Arabidopsis thaliana: one gene and its partners. The protein of the gene in region 1 purifies or fractionates together with the protein of each later gene. This does not show direct contact. Each region holds a gene or a part of one and is shown on either strand. Other genes may lie near its edges.

The links.
Region 2: the proteins of IMD2 (region 1) and AT1G50380 fractionate together in Arabidopsis thaliana (co-fractionation; one large-scale study listed by BioGRID). This does not show direct contact.
Region 3: the proteins of IMD2 (region 1) and GSA2 fractionate together in Arabidopsis thaliana (co-fractionation; one large-scale study listed by BioGRID). This does not show direct contact.

Annotation. Positions count from the first base shown.
Region 1 is NC_003070.9:30,284,078-30,290,879, forward strand, and holds IMD2 (isopropylmalate dehydrogenase 2), read left to right. Parts: upstream 1-3,685; 5' UTR 3,686-3,755; coding exon 3,756-3,972; intron 3,973-4,171; coding exon 4,172-4,301; intron 4,302-4,410; coding exon 4,411-4,522; intron 4,523-4,600; coding exon 4,601-4,676; intron 4,677-4,766; coding exon 4,767-4,855; intron 4,856-4,947; coding exon 4,948-5,034; intron 5,035-5,124; coding exon 5,125-5,241; intron 5,242-5,331; coding exon 5,332-5,439; intron 5,440-5,520; coding exon 5,521-5,574; intron 5,575-5,680; coding exon 5,681-5,833; intron 5,834-5,974; coding exon 5,975-6,049; 3' UTR 6,050-6,222; downstream 6,223-6,802. Other genes in the region: AT1G80540 (envelope glycoprotein B), read right to left, coding at 34-181; AT1G80550 (Pentatricopeptide repeat (PPR) superfamily protein), read right to left, coding at 1,281-2,627; AT1G80555 (Isocitrate/isopropylmalate dehydrogenase family protein), read left to right, coding at 2,929-3,139, 3,212-3,341, 3,416-3,662; AT1G80570 (RNI-like superfamily protein), read left to right, coding at 6,584-6,614, 6,743-6,802. UniProt on the Arabidopsis thaliana protein: Involved in leucine biosynthesis; catalyzes the oxidative decarboxylation step in leucine biosynthesis (primary metabolism). Catalyzes the oxidation of 3-carboxy-2-hydroxy-4-methylpentanoate (3-isopropylmalate, 3-IPM) to 3-carboxy-4-methyl-2-oxopentanoate.
Region 2 is NC_003070.9:18,658,719-18,665,520, reverse strand, and holds the start of AT1G50380 (Prolyl oligopeptidase family protein), read right to left. Parts: upstream 3,256-6,802; 5' UTR 3,240-3,255; coding exon 2,870-3,239; intron 2,723-2,869; coding exon 2,439-2,722; intron 2,338-2,438; coding exon 2,143-2,337; intron 1,924-2,142; coding exon 1,577-1,923; intron 1,371-1,576; coding exon 1,079-1,370; intron 800-1,078; coding exon 641-799; intron 548-640; coding exon 182-547; intron 1-181. Other genes in the region: FYPP1 (Calcineurin-like metallo-phosphoesterase superfamily protein), read right to left, coding at 3,849-3,932, 4,287-4,358, 4,448-4,543, 4,641-4,784, 4,890-4,940, 5,053-5,163, 5,523-5,580, 5,797-5,864 and 2 more.
Region 3 is NC_003074.8:18,047,571-18,054,372, reverse strand, and holds GSA2 (glutamate-1-semialdehyde 2,1-aminomutase 2), read right to left. Parts: upstream 4,803-6,802; 5' UTR 4,677-4,802; coding exon 4,500-4,676; intron 4,242-4,499; coding exon 4,068-4,241; intron 3,991-4,067; coding exon 3,346-3,990; intron 3,246-3,345; coding exon 2,823-3,245; 3' UTR 2,595-2,822; downstream 1-2,594. Other genes in the region: SWEET11 (Nodulin MtN3 family protein), read left to right, coding at 36-246, 349-510, 606-725, 1,272-1,559; DCF (HXXXD-type acyl-transferase family protein), read right to left, coding at 5,078-5,938. UniProt on the Arabidopsis thaliana protein: Transaminase converting glutamate 1-semialdehyde (GSA) to 5-aminolevulinate (ALA). Involved in the biosynthesis of tetrapyrroles.

The DNA of each region.
Region 1 (6,802 bases):
GTTTCTCTGGTTTAAAAGAAACAAAACTTTTACCTTGAAATGAGGTAGAGGATGGACGATGATGACAAGAAGACGAAACTGCATGAGAAAAAGAAACCAAACTCGACGTGATCAGAAGCCCAACGGTGATCAGGAGGAGACGCCGGCGACTATGATATGACGGCGTTTCGCTATTAACCATTATTCTCCCTATTTTTCTTGTCTAATTCTCTCTCTTTTTTTGTTTTTTTGGGGGAGGTTTGGTTTCTAATTTCTGAAACTCTAAAAAAGGGTTTATCAATCAAACGTATGAATAAGAATCTTTTACTTCTTCAGGAAATCAAGGACAAAGAAGATGAAACGAAACTGTTCCCTTTATTTAGATTTTCACCATCCATTGTTGTTATTCTGTTTTGTTTTAAGTTTTCACCTCATTTTCTTAGTTTTTAAAATCCTTAATTAATTACTCTTTTAACTCTTATTGGCTGTGTGACCTAAAACTTAAATTAATGAATCACATTTTTTTCTATAAAACCGATTATACAATAAAATTGAAATGAAATTGGTAAAAATACTTTATACTCAGGGTCGACTCGGAGATTAGAAAAAGAAACGGAGAATGGCATTAATTACCACCAATACTGACATGAGAGCTACTCTAATTTTGTAACGGAAAATTGCATTTATGATCATCTGGTACCAACTTTTCCTGCTTTTGCTCTGTCATGGCATTTTCTAAAGAAAAATGTTGTAACTAAGATTTTTTTTAGAAAATTGTTACGTCATGTCTGCATAATCTTTACAAAAGTAAGCTAAGATTAAAAGTCGTATTCTTTAGTTGAATTTTTTTCAAATTACAATAATAACGCCATATTCTCCAATGGTTTTAAGAATGTGATCCATGATGGATCATCCATCGTTTCTGTAGGGTGTTTTATTGAGCTTAACGATCTTACAAAATAGCCACAAAATGCCTGTGGTTGTCACAGAGTGGAACAACAACAAAAAAAAATTAAGTTAGAGAGTGAATTACAAATGGTACGTATATGTAGTAGAACACATATAGGAGGCGACAAACCATCTTTCAAAACCAAATCTTCGGAATTTGGCTTAAGACACACAACTCAACCAGATTTCTCAATGAACCTCAGTGTTTTCTCCTCGGTTTTGAGTTGAAACAAAGCCACTTTATGGCAAAGATGATATACCTTGGGGAGATTTCTCCATCCAAAAGGACGCTTCTCTATTGCTTCATGTCTGTTTTGAACACATAACCAAAGAGTTTCTTCATATCTAGTTATCTATTCTCTACAGACAAGCGTTTCGTCCAAGGACTTTTCTACCAACTCAGGCCTTCTCCTTGGAGATAGCCCTCTTTCGATCATTTCCTCCTCATATTCCCTAGCCATATCCAACATTCCTTTCTGAATCAACGCATCAATCACAGCATTATACGCCGCTGAATCAGGAGTATCCCCAGACTCTTTCATTGTCTTCCACACATATAATACCGGCTGAAGAAATCCCCATCTCTCAAACTTCCTCATTAGCATCACATAAGTATCCATCTTTGGCCTCACTCCACTCCTTATCATCCTACCAAACAGACTTAGGATCTCACTCGGTTTCTCCAAACGGGAAAAGAGACACATGTAAGTAATCGAATCGGGTTGACAACCTCTCTTAGGCATCTCATCAAGCATCCGATACGCGTCTCTCATCCTCCCGTCTTCACATAGAAGCTTAATGATTGTGTTATGAGTCGCAACATTAGGTTCACAACCTCTTTCCCTCATCTCCCGAAATACCCTGATACCGAATTCAACACCTTGCGACGCTCCAATGGCTCGAATCACAGTGTTATAAGCAACCACATCGAGTTTCATCCTTCTACTCTTCATTTCCTTATACAACTTCACAGCTTTCCACGGTTTCCCGCTCTTGCACATGATATCCATGTAAATGGAATACGAAAAAAGATCCTTAGTAACACCTTCAGTATCCATCTTCTTCCAATACTCCTTGCATTTACCCCACCATCCCAATTTCGACCACCCACGAAGAATCAGATTATGAATCTTAGTATTACTCACACTAAAACCATTACCAATGACATTCTTCCCAAAACAAAGCTCTTCAGCTTCAACCACATGTTTATGCTCGCAAAGCGCATCGACCAGATTATAAAATGATGTTTCATCTCTCAAATTGAAATCATCCAATTTATCATACGCATCAATAGCCTCCTGAACAAGATGAGCCGTCACATAACGCTTAAAGACTATACGAAACGTGACGTGATTCGGCACAGATTCCGTGTTTCCGATCATGCGGTTAATCAAAGCCCAAGAAATTTCAAACTCGAAATACTTACCCAGAATATCGATCACCCGATTGAATGTCTCGGTGGTATGTCTGAATCCGGATTCTCTCTCGACCCAGTTGAAAAACTCCAACGCCTTTTGCCAATCGTTGCTGTAACATGTGAGAGCTTCGCATACTGTTTTCTGATCGTAACTGGACTGATCTTCTTCTTCCTGAGATCGAAACTTCGCATCATCGACATTTGAAATAGGTTTTACTGACAGAAGCCGAACGGAGTAAGGGGAAGCAATCCGAACTCGATTGAGTCGCCGCAACAAGAGCATTCTCTTGTTTCCCCTCTCCGCTCCCTGTACACACGAAATTAGGGTTCATCATCTAACGGGCGAATTTTGACCCGAATACCCATTTTAAAATCTGACCCGAATACCATTTATGGGCCCAAAGCCCGCTGGACTTGTGTTAATATTTGGAACATTTGGGCCGATCTATCTTCTACGAATCTTTCTTAGGCCCATCATAATTGAGCCATCCAGAGGTGAAAATAAATAATCGAACGGTTAATATTGGTTTGATTATAAACACAAAAGTTCTTTCCAGGTCTCCTTGTAGTCTTTGTTGTAGTAAATGGCGGGAGTCATCCACGTCAGCAGTACCCAGATTCCGGTTGCGTTTATGTCCGCAACCAAACAGAGCTTTAGGAGAGCTTCTGTGATCAGATGTGCCGCCAACACTCCAAAGAAACGGTACACCATCGCGGTTCTTCCCGGCGATGGCGTCGGTAACGAAGTGATCCCAGTCGCTGTTGACGTTCTTTGTTTAGCTGGGTCTCTTGAAGGTTCCTTCTTTCTCATCCTGTTGCCTAATTTAATTTGATTTTCCCAACTGAAATCGTGTTTTTGGATATCAGGGATAGATTTTAGCTTCGAGGAGTTGCCTATAGGAGGTGTTGCTTTAGATCTTGTCGGAGTTCCACTGCCTAAGGAAACATTGATCAGGGCAAAGCAATCAGACGCTCTTCTTCTCGGAGCTGTTGGATGGTATGGTATTATTACCATAACTTTCGTTCATCTCAAGTTTGGATTCATCTAAAGTTTGGATTTTTGAATTGAAGGCCGAAATGGGATAACAATCCCAAGCATTTGAAGCCGATAACGGCCTTGTTGCAGCTTCGTGCGGCTCTTCAAGTATTTGATGAGCCCTCCTTCTTCTGTGAGGTGCTGCTAATAAATGGATATATATATATATATATATATATATATATATATGTTGTATGTGGTAATGTAAGGTGTCCATTTACAAAATTAAAAACTTTGGGGTCAATTCTGAAAATAAAACAATGTGCAAAAAAGGACCCATAAATGCAAAGAAGTAAAGTCTGAGTGTACTAGTAGTATCCATTTGACTTGCGGTTTCAAAATCCGAAAAAGACCAATCAATCCTTTCTCCCTGAAATGGCGGCGGCTCTGCAGACGAATATCCGGACGGTCAAGGTTCCGGCTACGTTCAGAGCTGTAAGTAAACAGTCATTGGCACCCTTTAGAGTAAGATGTGCTGTTGCTTCCCCTGGTAAAAAACGATACACCATCACTCTCCTTCCCGGAGACGGCATCGGTCCGGAGGTTGTCTCCATTGCCAAAAATGTGCTTCAGCAAGCTGGATCTTTGGAAGGTTCTCTCTCTCTCTCTTGTTCCCTTTCTTATTTAATTTAGTTGCTGTTTCATTTCAATTGGGGACTACTGTTTTCTGCTTGGAATTGAAAGATGTGAGCATTAGAAATTGGCGAGATTTTGAATGGGATTTACAATCGTGGGTTGGGCTCAAAGGCCACGGAGATTGCCTAATACATTGCGTCTGTGCTCTGTATCAGGAGTGGAATTTAACTTCCGTGAGATGCCCATTGGAGGAGCTGCTTTGGATTTGGTCGGAGTGCCCTTGCCGGAGGAGACTATCTCAGCTGCAAAAGAATCAGATGCAGTGCTTCTTGGAGCCATTGGAGGGTCTGTCTTCTCTCTTTTCCCACTAATCTTGTTGGCTCTTAATTATTGTTTTGGGAAATACAGTTTCTCATTTAGTCATTTTCTCATGTTGGTATAATAATAACTTAAGGTACAAATGGGATAACAATGAAAAACATCTGAGGCCTGAGAAGGGGTTACTTCAGATTCGTGCAGCTCTCAAAGTCTTTGCAAATCTGAGACCTGCTACAGTCCTCCCACAGGTGACCATCCTCAGAGATTTCTTGGTTGCCTGAACTTTGTTTCTTGTGTGAAACTCTAATTTTGTTGTTTTTATACAGTTAGTGGATGCTTCCACCTTAAAGAGAGAGGTAGCAGAAGGTGTTGATCTAATGGTTGTAAGGGAGCTTACAGGAGGTCAGTTTTATTACTTATTAAAAATTGATCGTAATTCTTGTCTTTCTCGTGTGACAATATCTTATAAAATGTCATGTCTCATGGTAACAGGTATTTACTTTGGAGAGCCAAGGGGCATAAAGACCAATGAAAATGGCGAGGAAGTTGGGTTTAATACTGAGGTTTATGCTGCTCACGAGGTACTCTATTGAAAATCTCAGATGCAGATTTCCGTGGACTGATTGTTAAGTACTAGGGTCAAATCTAATAAAGCATTTTGTATGTTCGTCAGATTGATAGAATTGCTCGTGTTGCCTTCGAGACTGCTCGGAAACGGCGTGGCAAGCTGTGTTCTGTTGACAAAGCTAATGTTTTGGAAGTGCGGTTGATAATTATGTTTTCTTTGACTTGTTTTCCTCTCTCTTGTTTCCTGTGGAACGAACATAACACTGAATTTTTTTATATGCAGGCCTCAATCTTATGGAGGAAACGAGTAACAGCATTAGCCTCTGAATATCCTGATGTTGAGCTGTCACATATGTATGTTGACAATGCCGCGATGCAGCTTGTTCGTGACCCAAAACAGGTACGTGTACTTTGTATTTGCCAAACTAGTCAGCTTTGATGTGCGACAGGTGTAAATCCTTGCAATTATTTGATTGTTTGATAAATGCAGTTTGACACCATCGTCACAAACAACATTTTTGGTGATATATTATCCGATGAAGCTTCAATGATCACAGGAAGCATAGGAATGCTGCCATCTGCTAGTCTCAGTGATTCGGTATGATATAAAATAATATGATCTTTTAGTATGCAAGCAGTATGATCTAGTCTGAACATAAACCCGCCATGTGTAATACAGGGACCTGGACTCTTTGAACCTATACATGGTTCTGCACCTGATATTGCTGGACAGGTTCTAACTCTATCCTTCAAACAAACACGGTTTTTGTTCCCTGATATCAAAACTAGTTTAATGCCAAAATCAAAGAGCACAACTTGTTGATTCTTTGAATTTTCAGGATAAGGCAAACCCATTGGCAACCATTCTAAGCGCTGCAATGCTTCTGAAATACGGACTTGGAGAAGAAAAGGCAGCCAAGAGAATTGAAGACGCAGTGTTGGTTGCTCTGAACAACGGATTCAGAACTGGAGACATATACTCCGCGGGAACAGTATGTTTCTTGAACCACTCTTATAACATGTTTCCTTTTCCTTAAAAACGTCCCGAGTTAGTGTTTGAGAAACGTTTAAACAAGCAGGCAACAACAAACAGTAGTAATATTTTTTTGTCTTTTTGTATGGGGTATGATCAGAAACTGGTGGGCTGCAAGGAGATGGGAGAGGAGGTTCTGAAGTCAGTGGACTCCCAAGTTCCAGCTTCTGTTTAATATTTGTAGAAACTTTGAAGAGTTCATTTCCAACAACAAATGTTGTACCTTGTACTCAAAGAGTCTCGGTTTTATTAGCGATTTTTATAATGTGAGATTATTAGAGGGACTTATTTGATCGAACTGAAACGTTGATGTTTTTTTCTGAGAAATAAATATCCTTGTGGAGATAATGACGTGTCAGAGTATCACTCAAAAAGCCAAAAATTAGAGAGACAAAAAAGATTCAATCTCCCCCGTAGTCCTTATCCGGCGCCGAGTGTGGTCAAACGTCGCAAGAGTTTTCGCTCTTTCCGGTGAGATCTTTTTCCTCTGATTTCTGTTTCATGGCAAGCCTACTTTTAGAGCTGAGTTTAATCGATGAATCAAGGATGTGAATTTTTGTTATTTCTTGATTATTCATTATTATGTTCAAGAAATCTAAATCTCTGCTTGGGAACTAATTCACAATTTAGACATCTCTGATGAGTTTTTCCTCTGTTTTTTATTTCTATCTTATCAATTTTGTTTCTGGAAATTTTCATGGCTTTTTGAATGTTCATTGGGATTGCGTATCTTGGTGGTGGTAAGTAAAAAGTCAAACGCCTTCGTTTTTCTGCATAATCTCTGAGTTCCATCAAAGCTCTGTTTTGTGTTTTCAAGGTGGACTTTTCACTTGACATGTTAGGCTTTGATCCTTTTTTGTTCACACAGATAGACAAATGGATGAATTGCCAGACCATTTGGTTTGGGACATTCTCAGTAAGCTTCATA
Region 2 (6,802 bases), about 12 Mb from region 1:
TTTAATTATCATACAAAATCAAACTACAGCTACTTCATTCATAAGGAAATCTATCCATCCTTATGCTTTCCCAGTTCCTAATGCAAATCCCTATGAAGACATGCCAGATGTTGTACTCTGTAAAGTAAGAATAATATATGTAATTCGCTGTTTTAAGGCACAGAACAAGCATCAAACACACCTCCCACTCTGATGTCGTAAGCGGAATTGTTGGGTCCAGCATTGTTGTCAAGACATCTACAAAAGGAACTCCAGCGATAACCACCTTGAACAAGTCAGGCCTCATATTAACAACAGCACCCATCAGCAATCCACCAGCACTTCTCCCTTCCATGCACAGTTTTTCTTTCGAGCAATATTTTAGTTCTATTAAACGCTCAGCACAAGCAATAAAATCAGTGAATGTGTTTTTCTTCTTCAACAGCTTCCCATTCTCATACCACTGTCTCCCCATCTCACCGCCCCCACGAACATGAGCAATTACAAAGGTAAACCCACGATCTAACAGGGACAACCTTGATGCCTTGAAATAAGGATCCACAGAAATCTGTAATAAAGATAAAGAGTATTTTATAGTTCCGTTGGAAAGAAGTAAAAGGACCGAGAATCTGGGAACCATAAAAGCTTCAACTAAAAATACCTCATATGAACCATATCCATAAAGGAGTAATGGATCAGATCCATCAAGCTTTGCAAGTTTTTTGTTATACACAATAGACATTGGAATTTGAGTTCCGTCTGATGCAGCGACCCACTTTCTTTCTGTAACATAATTTGATGCATCAAAACCTCCCAATACCTGAATGAAATACAGCAGGCTATCATAAAGATCAAGCGATGACCATTTCAAAAGAGAAGGCATGTTAGGGAAAAATGCGTAAAAACACAGTACCAGTAAAAAAAAACTAAAATTTTTCATAATTTTCATGTGTTGTATTTCAAAATTGTCAATACGACTTATTACCATTCAATGAAATACGCTTATGCATTGCAAATAAAATCGGCAACTAAATATGCAGAGGACATAGGAAATTGATCCAAAGTGAGGGAGAACGAATGAATAAGTAGTTTTACTTACTGTGTCAATCTTCTTGACAACGGAAGTGCCACTGTCCATGTCATAGTCATACACAGAAGGAGGTGTTTTCATTGAGCAGTATTTAAACCTTAAAACCCTGGACGAAAATTCGGACTCGGTTGAGTCAACTGAATAGACCGGGTCAACAAAGCTCACATTACGACCACCTTGGAGACCTTCCAGTGGCTGTCCCTCAGCAGGAAGCCTATGAACTGTGATCTTCTGCAGTCCGTTTTCACGCTCGAAGACTGCAAGATGATCTCGGAAAAGCTGAATTTCCTGAATCTTTACACTGTCCATGCAAATATAATTGTTTAGCTAGGCATACAAGGTGACCTTGATGTTAAATGCATTATAAAACTAATCTAGCAACTGGAAAACAACCCAGCATGCATGTCGTCTAAGCCGAAGGATATACATGATATTAAAATTAGTTATACTTCATTTGGATTTTGGATAGGCCACAATGGCAACCAGATTCTAACAAAAAAAGTTTACCTTTCTCTATGTGGAAGCAGAACAGTTGTCTTTGATGTGTCATCAACTGGACAGGCGATCAGTTCTGAGTTGTAAAATTCAGTGCTCCTTCTCTGGATGAAAAAGTGGTTCCCACGATGACTGACAGATGAATCAATTCCATCTACACGAGGTGTCAACACCCTGAGTCCATCCTGAGTCTTGGACACATCAAGCGAGAAGACAAATCTTGTAGTTTTGCTTTCAGATGCAACAAATAAATACTTATGGCTCTCAGAAGCGTGGAGTTCAAGAGAAAACATATCATCCTTCTCATGGTAAAGGCATACATCACTGCTCTGCTCTGTCCCTAATTTATGTAACCAAACCTGTTACAAAGAATATATGAAGATCAGAACATGAAAGCCAAAAATATTGACGTATCTCATAATAAGTACAGTCAAATTTGGTAAGAAAATATGGCATCTATGAGGTGTATAATGTCAACAATTGATCGAAACGGTAAAATCTATATTCATGCAAAAGTTAATCCCTTCCTCCAGTACTATACACTAAGACAGTAGGGTGGGAAAAGATTGAAGGTAAACCTTATCAGGTCGCAGGATTTCGTCCATTGTTATGTAGAGCAAAGCATCATTACCAGCCCATTCAAGATAAGAAGTAAGTCCTTTAAGCTGTTGCCCCACTGGTTTTAGGGCTTCAGAGTCGATGACATTCACTGTATATATCTCATCACCTTTTGTGTCCTCTGCATATGCCACCAATTTATGATCGGGACTCGCCTATAAAAAGAATCAAGAAAATGAAACATCAAGTTAGTAAAGAGCAAGTTTGAAAAGGATATCTCTTAGGACGATTTTTAAAGTCTATTTTCTAGTCAAACCTTGAAGGCCCCAATTCTGTAGTAGTCATGCTCTTGAGCCTTGGTATTCTCATCCAATATCACATGCTCAGGAGGAGCATCTGGACCAGTTGGCATAGTATCATAGACAGAAGGCTCAGCTTTGTTGTCAGTGATCAAACGTCTACAGTGCTGAATATATTCCTTTCCTTGAAGATTTTTCTCATAATAATAGTAAGGACCCTTGCGTAGAGGTGCAGATATATCATCTTCTTTGATCCTCCCTCTTATTTCAGCAAACAGCTGATTCTCAAATTGCTTGGTCCCTGAATTTTTATTTTCCAGTCTAATTTATCACAAGCTTGCATAATCAACAAGTCACTAATACTCCAAATTGAAAACAAGGAAAGCTAAAAACCCTAATCCCCTAAGTATCACAACGTCACTGACAGAGGCAACTTGAAAAGACTCACCAGACATGACGAAATCAGTGTAGTGATTTTCTTCACGAAGATAAGAAAGCATGTCGGGATTGGTGCGAGAATCGTCACGGAGCCAGTAGTAATTGTCAACCCTAACGTCACCGAACATCTCCATCACATGCTCCACCTTCTTCGCTACAGGAGGGGATCTCGATTCCGCCATGTCTCTCGGTGATGTCAACCGCACTGACGCAGCTCCGGTTTCAGAGGAAGAGGAAAAAGAAGAAGACAGCCGTAGAATAGAGCGGCGGCGAGGAACAAGAGGAACGAGGCAAGAGAGAGGAGTATCGAAGTGGAGAAGACGACTACGAGTCGCGAGAAAGTGAGTGCCGAGAGATACGAGTCCACGCCTTATTATCATATTACGTGTCCGTTTTAGTTGCCTAGAGACTCGCGACCAGTTTGTTAATAGAGGACAGGTCATATCCGGTTTGGATAAACCGGCCTATCTATGATTCCGGTTACAAAATTATTAACTCTTTCGTGAATTTTTGCTAGGATTATTGAACAAAACCAAATAATTAGATTAGAAACAAATTACTGTTGAATGTTGATTAATGGTCTTCTATGTTCTTGTAGTGGACTATTTTTGAGCTTGATGAATTTTATAAGCCTGAGATTAACCCAGAACCTAATCAAACCGTGCTAAACTGCAAATAAGCTGAGATGATAAAAATTGGTCTTGCTTACAGAACAAAGATGAAACAAAACAAGAAAGAAAGCACGTATAATAATAACATCCAGAAGAGGTTCAGGTTAAAGTGCATCAAAACCACTAAAATTACCAAAGTGACATTCACTTTCACAAGAAAATGTTTCCAAAATGGAAAAAGGAAAAAAAAAACAATGGAAGTGTAAACAACATCAGAAGATATACCTTGAAAGAACATAAGCCAATGGCAATCATGATAATGGCTAACTTGATAAGAGCAATACGAGACTAATAATGATGTAGGATCATCATCATGAATCACAGGAAATAAGGAACACCTGTCCTTGGCCCTCTCATTTGATTGTTCTCTTCTGTCTCCGTGAAGAACTTCACTTCCCTTTCCTGGTAATTAAGCATATTTTAACAAATCATTACTGTCAGTGAGGACCAGATCCTAAACACTTCCCAGAAACAGGTCTATATATGAAAAGTAACACACAGAGCACAATCAATATGGACAGACTGATTCCACGCGAACTGTGAATTGTTACTAAATAAATGGCTTAAACATCATAACTCTATCTCACAAGAGTCACTCATGTGTATATGTTTGGGTCGAGAGACAAGTATCAAAGGCAGTAACTTATTTAATCAAAAAGGAAAAGTAGAATCCGAAGACGAGTGCATAAAAGTAAGAAGAACATGAAACAAGATATTGTGGCAGATCAGTAACAAAAGAGAAAACAAATGCCTCACCATGTTGTCATTGAAACTCAATATAGAAGCCACATTCCCACAACGGTAGCAGTAATTAGGCGCAGACCACACCTTTACAAAAAAAATAAAGAGAAGAAACATCACCAAGCAGATTATACTTCCAACTATCCAAAATGATCATAAGGAAGCAAGGCACTTACAGTTACAAGACCTTTATCTTGGAACATGTACTTGAGACCTTCTTGTACAAGCTGGTGAGCGCGACATACTAGATCAAGATTGTTAATATGGTTAAACTGCACAAGAAGCAAAACCACAGATCAGGGAACTGAAATACATTTATTTCTTTTCACACCTTATTCAAATTTCAACCCCAGAAAAAAATATAAATACCTCAGTGGTAACCCTGGACCCGAAAAGCCAACCAGCTCCACGTGGACTGACAGCCCATGTTTCAATATCTTCAGGATCACTCCACATAAGATCACAGAAGGGTCCTTCATGCGGTATTTCGCAATTCCGCTCAATCAATCTTATCTAGAGAACAAAATAACATCTAAATGAGTAAATGAGATTTAATCTAATCATAAATAACACTTGCATGGTGAAAACCAAAAGTAATTTAAAATAGCACATTTTAACCTGGTCAATTGTCCGTACATCAGGTGAAAGGCCACCATGAACACATAGAACCTACATTGAGGATGCAATACGTTTTAATATGGTATACAGCTAACTTATGCATTCATAAAATTATACAAGAACACATCATAACACAATGCCAAAGAAGCTGAGAAATACTTACAGTGCCATCTATAATAGCTGAAAGTGTAAGATAGTCAAAAACATCCGTGCAATATCTCCAAGCATTAGCATTACCATACTTCCTTTGGCATTCGTCATAGAAACCATACACCTAGCAAATATAAAATTGGTACGACAATTTAAGAAAACTATAAAAATGAACCTGCAGGGCACAAAATATCACTACAATCTTCGTCCTTGACAGTGGATGTTAAAAGATATAGGATATGGTGTAGGATAGAGATAAATCAAGAGCTTCCGAGAAGAAAACTTATGGTTGCAAAGGGTTCACATAAAATGCATCTTAGTTAACATCTATGCCTATATCTAGCATGGCATTGCCACATGTACAAAATAAACTTTCAAAACTAGTTATAACAATTGAGCGAAAATTACTTCTCAACCAGTAACTGCGTGAAGAGCACAGCAAGTCAGCAACAATAGATATAAATGGATTAGAATAATGCATACCTGAGTTAGCTGTCTACTTTCATGATTTCCACGCAAAAGAGTGATATTGGCTGGATGTCTACATATTGAAATACAAGGAAACGAGTGATTTTAAGCTCACAGCAAAGTAAGTTAGAATATAAATTTCCTGGAATACAAGTTAAATCGATTTTCCAGTAGAGCAATGCGTTTACAGCTTAAAGAGCATTCTCAAGAGAACTATGATATACAGTGTGAAACGGAAGGATGACGATCCATGACATATATAACGCACAATTTCTACGGAAAATCTTACCTTGCTTTAAGAAGCAAAAGAATGGTGAAAACTTCAAGACTGTTGTAACCTCTATCAACGAAATCCCCCTGAGAAAATCCCCCACAGATAATTAAACTATGTGTTACATATTGATATGTCATACGAGCCTACGCCCAAAGTCAGAGTCTATACCATAAATATGTAATTGGTCTCGGGAACATGACCTCCGGTCTGGAAAAGTTTCATAAGATCATGAAACTGGCCATGGATATCACCACAGACGGTGACAGGACTGTTGACAGGTTGTACATTTGATTCCTCAATAAGAATTTCTTTCACCTATATAATAGTCAAAATATCTTGTGAATTACCAGAGTATCTTAGCAAATCATTGTCATGAAAAAAGAAGAAGACGGCTGCTACTACAAGTTTCAACACTAAAATTACTATAATAAATCCTCAAATAACAGTTTGCAAGCGTGGACTTGGTGCATCCATAAATTGGCTAAAGAAGAGCTAAACTTATCCCTAATTCCTTAGAATTTAGAATTGAAATAGCAAAGTCAATAAATCCTCTATTGGAAAAATGAGAGAAAAACCCTAAAATCCGTAGACCAAAATGGCAAAGGAAACAGTAAGGGAGAGAGACCAGATTCAAAGTAAAGTGCCACAAAGCAAGCTCTAAAGTCTCAAAAGAGTAAGCGAAGAATTGGGTTTTTGTAGATGCATGAATATTCGGGGAAGAGAAAGCAAGCAAGAGAAGAAAGAAGAAAGAAGAAGAAGGCGTACGTATTCGCAGAGAAGTTGAAGCTCGTCCTCAGAGAGATGTTGGCCGTCTTTAACCTTGGAAATCCATTGATCTAAATCCATGGCGGCCTTTTATTATCCTCTCTGTCTCTCTCTTTCGGTGGTGAAGTGGAAATTGGTGCTGTTTCTTCGATTTCAATGGTGAGTCTCGACGATCTCTGGTGAAGAATTGAAAGAAAGATAGATCTAGCAGAGCATTGCTCCGTCCGCTTAGGGTTACGTAAGGGGGAAAGAGGGA
Region 3 (6,802 bases), on another chromosome or scaffold:
TGAGTAACTAATATTCAGTTTTTTTTTGGACGCAGGCCAACGTTCTATAGGATTTGGAAGAAGAAGACAACAGAAGGGTTTCAGTCTATTCCTTATGTTGTGGCGCTCTTCAGTGCGACGCTTTGGCTTTACTATGCGACACAGAAGAAAGATGTCTTCCTCCTCGTAACCATTAACGCCTTTGGTTGCTTCATCGAAACCATCTACATCTCTATGTTCCTTGCCTACGCTCCCAAGCCAGCTCGGGTAACTAATAATTAATCCTCAGTTCATATGACATGCATGTTACGTTGTTCATAACATTATTCAAATGAAGTTGCTAAATAAAACATTTCTTAATGGATGCAGATGTTGACAGTGAAGATGCTACTTCTTATGAACTTTGGAGGATTCTGTGCGATTCTCCTTCTTTGCCAATTCTTGGTAAAAGGAGCCACACGTGCTAAGATTATCGGAGGAATCTGTGTCGGATTCTCTGTTTGTGTTTTCGCTGCTCCTCTAAGCATAATCGTAAGTACTACGAAATAGCTAATTTACCAAGTGATTAAATTATGATTTGGTAACAATAATAATTAACATATATATTTTTGTTTAATTATATATAGAGGACGGTAATAAAGACAAGAAGTGTGGAGTACATGCCCTTTAGCTTATCCTTAACCCTTACCATCAGTGCTGTCATATGGCTCCTTTATGGTCTTGCTCTCAAGGACATCTATGTTGCTGTAAGCCATTTCATCTCTCTCTATTTGCTATAATGAATATATATGTTTTAACATGATTATCATGTCGTCAAGCATCATAATCATATGTCTATCATTATCATAACAGTATATTACATGAAGTGGGTGCTTTTGTTTCTAATGAACCTGAGACTTTGAGGTTCTAATCATAGATTCATAGATAAAAAGAGATATGGATTGGCAAAAGATAAAAAAAACGATTAATGAAAGCAAAACCTTTTGTTTGGTATCGTCCTTTACGATAAAAATAAACCAAATTATAAAGAAACTCTCGCTTTATGTTCCACAGAAACATTAAAAGATTTAGCTTTTGCAAAAGAAGTTCATAATATATTAAGTTCTTTTTATCTTTATTGTTACATAGAAATTATATTTTGTACGTAACTTCTATCGATGCCGCACAAGTTTGCCATAAACTTTACTTTATTTCGTTTTTAACGTACTTTATTCACAAGCTAGAAAGTGGAAAAGTGAGTATATTAAAATGTTATTATGTTATTGCCACTACAACAAATGTTTTTCGTGCAGTTCCCGAATGTGCTTGGTTTTGCTCTCGGTGCACTCCAAATGATACTCTACGTTGTCTACAAATACTGTAAAACGTCGCCGCATCTAGGAGAGAAAGAAGTCGAAGCTGCTAAGTTACCGGAGGTGAGCCTCGATATGTTGAAGCTAGGCACAGTTTCATCCCCTGAGCCAATCTCAGTGGTTCGTCAAGCGAACAAGTGTACCTGCGGAAATGATCGAAGGGCTGAGATTGAAGATGGACAAACCCCTAAACATGGCAAGCAGTCCTCTTCCGCAGCAGCTACATGAATAAAAATACGTTAATGTTGACTTTACCCCAACTTGATATACCAACCACCACGTGTACCCCGTTACGCTGTCGTATTTTTCTGAGTTTATCAAGTGTGCGAAGTAGAGGATTAATTTTCCGGAGTTAGTTTCTCTACTTCTTTATAAAAATTTGTGTAATTATCTATTGGGGATAATGTATATTTCCTATTTTCTGATTTAACGAAAACTATTTAAAATATCCATCATGATTCTGTCTTTTTTTTTTTTGGTCATACTTAATGTTTTCTGTTTATTTTAAGGACATAATATTAATAATATACGATAAAGTTTTCTAATTATGAAAGATAATATTTGACTTGAGAATTAACGTGGTCACATTACTCTTCGGATATAACCAAAAAAAACAAAAAATAGAAAAATTTAAAAAATGTTTCAATACAGAAAATATTGGCATTATCAATCATAAATTCTTTTAACAAAAAATATCAATTATAAATTTTGATTGGCCTAAGTCAAGGAGTATTCATATTTTTAAATAAATAAAAAGGAATATTTTGTATGGACTGAGTGGGCCAAGTCTTTGTCTAAGGCAAGTAATATTGGATCACTTCCTTACTGGGCCTTTCCAATTTCAAATAATTCCAACTCAATTGTGTCCGAATTAGAAAGAAAGTTCGAATCAGCTTGGTCTCCAAAACATCTTCACATAATCATCAGGATGTTTCTTGTTCATTCTTTAAGACAATGAAAAGCAGCTCGGTCGGTTGGATTGAACAAACTACAGCTAGAAGCAAAGATGTGAAGAAAGAAAAATGCAACTAAACATATGAAAGACGTAACCTTGGGAAGTAGGAGACTAGTGAAACTTTCTCGTTGGATGGACTGTGTATCCACTTTCTAGGTCGTCTTAGGTCGGACAAAGACATAAATGGGCAAGGGAATCTATAGAAATGTGAAGAAAACTGAATATGGAAGCTTAACTTTGCAGATGCACTTCCCTTGTTCCGTGGAGAAATATATCGTCTTATGACTCAGATTATGATGTTGGCTACATGATGAAAAAGTGTGTTGCAATAGAAATCATTCTGTGTGATTTGTAAGACGTTAACGCAAAGCAAGAACTCTTTTTAAAAAGTCAACAAATCTTCATAGACATTTTGACTTTTCTTACCACAGTTAAATTTTGTGAGATTGCTTGCTTGCTCTCAATTGAATCTAATTTTCTCTACATCAAAAAATTTCAAATACATTCATGGTTCCCTGGAAGCTTCCAGAGACATTTTAGAGCCGACTTAGAACCTTCTCGGCCGCTGCGATAGTGAATTGGATGTCTTCTGAAGTGTGAGCCAAGCTAGTAAAACCGGCCTCGAATTGAGAAGGTGCCAAGTAGACACCTTCTTCCAACATTCCTCTGAAAAACTTTCCAAACTTCTCTGTATCACTCTTCTTTGCATCCGAGAAATCATAGACGGGTCCTTCCGTGAAGAAGAAACCGAACATCCCGCTTATGTAACCGCCACACATCGCATGCCCGGTTTTCTTCCCGGCTTCTAGTATCCCATTTGTAAGCTCTTTTGTGATCTTGTCTAAGTATTCATATGTCCCTGGCTGACTTAACCGCTTCAGCGTGTGTATACCCGCTGTCATAGCCAACGGATTACCACTTAGCGTACCAGCTTGATACATCGGTCCTGCGGGTGCAACCTGCAAAAAGACATGAGTGATAAAGGATCAGGACTTTCTCAATCTCTTGCAGCAAATTCAAAAGATTATTCGGTTCAATTGTTAACAACTCTAGCTTTACCATTTCCATGATGTCTCTTCTTCCACCGTATGCTCCCACAGGAAGACCACCACCGATGATTTTCCCAAGAGTTGTTAAGTCAGGTGTGATTCCAAAGTATTCTTGAGCTCCACCATAGGCTAAACGAAAACCAGTCATGACTTCATCGAAAATAAGAAGAGCACCATTGTCTTTAGTGATCCGGCGTATTCCCTCAATGAACTCTGGTTTAGGTGTAATAAAACCCGAGTTACCAACAACAGGTTCAAGAATGATGGCAGCAATCTCTCCTTTGTTTGCCTCAAAAAGCTTCTCAACAGCAGCAATATCATTGTATGGAGCTGTTAAAGTATCTGAAGTAGCTGCTTTGGGGACCCCAGGCGAGTCAGGTAGACCCAAAGTAGCTACACCACTACCTGCTTTGACAAGGAAAGAGTTTGCATGACCATGATAACAACCTTCAAACTTGATGAACTTTTGTTTCCCTGTGAAGGCACGAGCAAGACGTAGCACACCCATACATGCCTCTGTACCGGAGTTAACAAACCGAACCATTTCAATACTTGGAACAGCTGAAATCACCATCTCAGCAAGAACATTCTCTAAGAGACAAGGAGCACCAAAGCTTGTTCCTTTCTTCATTGTCTCAGCCAAAGCAGCAAGAACCTGCACTAGACACATCACCGTATCAACTACTAAACTTTCAGCTATCTAAAAATCATCAAAACTGGAAAGAAACAAACCTCATCATCAGCATGACCAATTATAGCAGGTCCCCAAGATCCAACATAGTCAATGTATTCATTTCCATCAATGTCTCTTATTCGTGAGCCCTTTGCAGAATCCATCACCACTGGTTGTCCACCAACAGATTTGAAAGCACGTACAGGTGAGTTCACACCTCCAGGCATTAAGTTCTACACAAAGGAACCAAACCAATTTCAATAATCAGAACAGAATGAAACCAATAAAAACAAAAACTTTATCTCAGATTATGATTCTATCTCAAGTAATCTTATTTTGTTAGCAATGTTCCTTGAAGGGTAACAAAGATAATCACTTTAACCAAAAATATGATCAAATCCCACAAAACCAAAGCAACAGAACATCAAGGCGTAATCAATCTGAAGAAACATTTCTTATTGACTGAATTCATGGAAATTGAAAAGCCTAACCTTCGCAGCATTGAAAGCTTCCTCAGATTTCTGAAGAGTGAATTTCTTCGTCTTCTCCTCTACCGAAACCGACATCTTGATGCAGCGACGGTTGGACGACGAAGAAGCTCTCTTAGAGAACTTTGCGGAGCACGAAAACCCTAGAGCAATCCCTGATCCAGTAAGCGTCGCAGCCATTTTGCTATATCTCTACGTTTCTCTGTTACTCTCTCACTTGCGCTCGTAAGTAGTACAGAGATAGTCAACAAGATAAGGCGGAGATGATCTTCAGATTTTAGATGGAGCCGACCCGGTGGTTTAAATTCAGACCCGATCCGGTTTGATTTTACTGGAATCTGAAACTCAAGTCAATATTTGTTTGTTTGACTTTGTTAACCAATCCGGTTTCTTTGACCCGATCCGGTCCGATAACTTAATTTGACATATATATATTTTCTGCGAATTACATAAATTTTTGTAATGGATACAAACGTGAATTCAAATATAACATGTATAAATAATGACTAGATTATAATTTTCCTTTGCTTATAATTTGGTAGAATATATCATAATTTGATTATGAAAATGTATGTTCTTTTTCAGATCTTCATAAGCTCTTCAAACACTTCCATAGCTGAAGTAGGAAGGCCAAGAAACACATTGATACTCTTCATATCATCACCACTTGGTAAGAACAAGATCACTTCCCTCCCTGGTAAACCAACCGGTCCAGAGAAAACCGGTTCTCCCCAACCGAAATCCAGTTTATGCAATGTCAATTTTGACCAGGATGTAATCAAAAGTGTCGCGTTCATACTCGGCCGTGTCCGGTTCACCTCGAAGTAGTCCATAGCCGACCGCATGAAGCCGTCCGTAACCAGCTCCACCAGTCTCTTGACCAAACCCACCGAGTGAGAAAGAGGGTTCCCAACTAATTCTCCCGATGATGTCACCAAACCGGTTAACACAATCCCGTTCCCGCAATATCCTTGCGGGAGACGTGGGATGAATCTTGACCGTCCATCCGCCGCAAACAGAAGCTTAACCCGTTGGTCCGGTTTAAACCGTAGAGCTTCGCATCTTGATTTCCAAAGAAACCCGGTTAAGGCTTGAAATGTTGATACCTTATTATTGTTATTTTCTTCAATCGCCATGATCTTGAGCTTCTCAAGCTTTTCGGGTTCGAAAAGAAATGATTTGTAGATGAGTTTTTCTTCATCGTAGATTTTTCCGGTGTCGGAAATATCTTCAATTTCGTCGAATTCATTGTGTGGGAACTCGATTTTGGGAGGGTTTCGTGACCGGAGAATCGTACGGTCCAAGAATGGTGGGACGGATAAAGGAAGACCCTTGGCCATCTCGCACCACGAGTTGAGGAACTCCGCAGCGGCGACTCCATCGAACATGTTGTGGCTCATGCCTAGTCCTAGGACAAAACCCCCACATTTGAAATTTGTCACCTGAAAAAAAAAACGGAACATAAAACTTTATCTAAAGATGTTAAAAAAAATCCATGCAACATTTTAGAATGAATCGATACCAATTTAAAGAAATAGGAATGAAATAATATACATTTAACTTAAGTACTACCTATTGGTTACACACACAAAAAAAAAAAACTTACTATTGATCGTCGTTATTTCTTTTGGTTACTTAACAATACTAATTACGCATGGTTCTAATTAGATGGTCTAATGTACCTTAAAGTTTGAACATGATGACCACTCTAGTTTTTAAGAGTAACGTCTGATCATTTGTTACTATATTAGTGTGTGTTCGTTACTACATGCATGAGACATAAAAATGATTTTTTTAGTAACATTGTATCATAATTCATAAATGATATTCGGGAAAAATGTCTTTCAAATTTGGGACGATTTAATTTTGAACTTCACGGAAGATAAATAAATCGTAAAGTTTTTGTTGACTTTCGAAATAAATGACAAAGTGTTTGTTGACTTGCCATTTGAGTCATGTCGTTAAATAGGTTAACAGAAAAAATTTACGGCGTTAATGTCTCGTTTATTTGCTCTGTTAGAACAAAACAACGTCGTTTATTGCAGAGACAAAACATCGTCGTTTTGTCTTGAAACAAATTTAAACCCTAAATCCCCAAATCGATTTCATTATCTCAAAATCACAGACCCACCTTGACCTCAAAATCGCAGATAATAAATCGATTTGGGGATTTAGGGTTTAAATTTGTTTCAACAAACAAAACGACGTTCCTTTGTCTCTGCAATAAACGATGTCGTTTTGTTCTAACAGAGCAGATACACGAGATATTAACGCCGTAAAATAATTCTGTTAACCTATTTAACGAC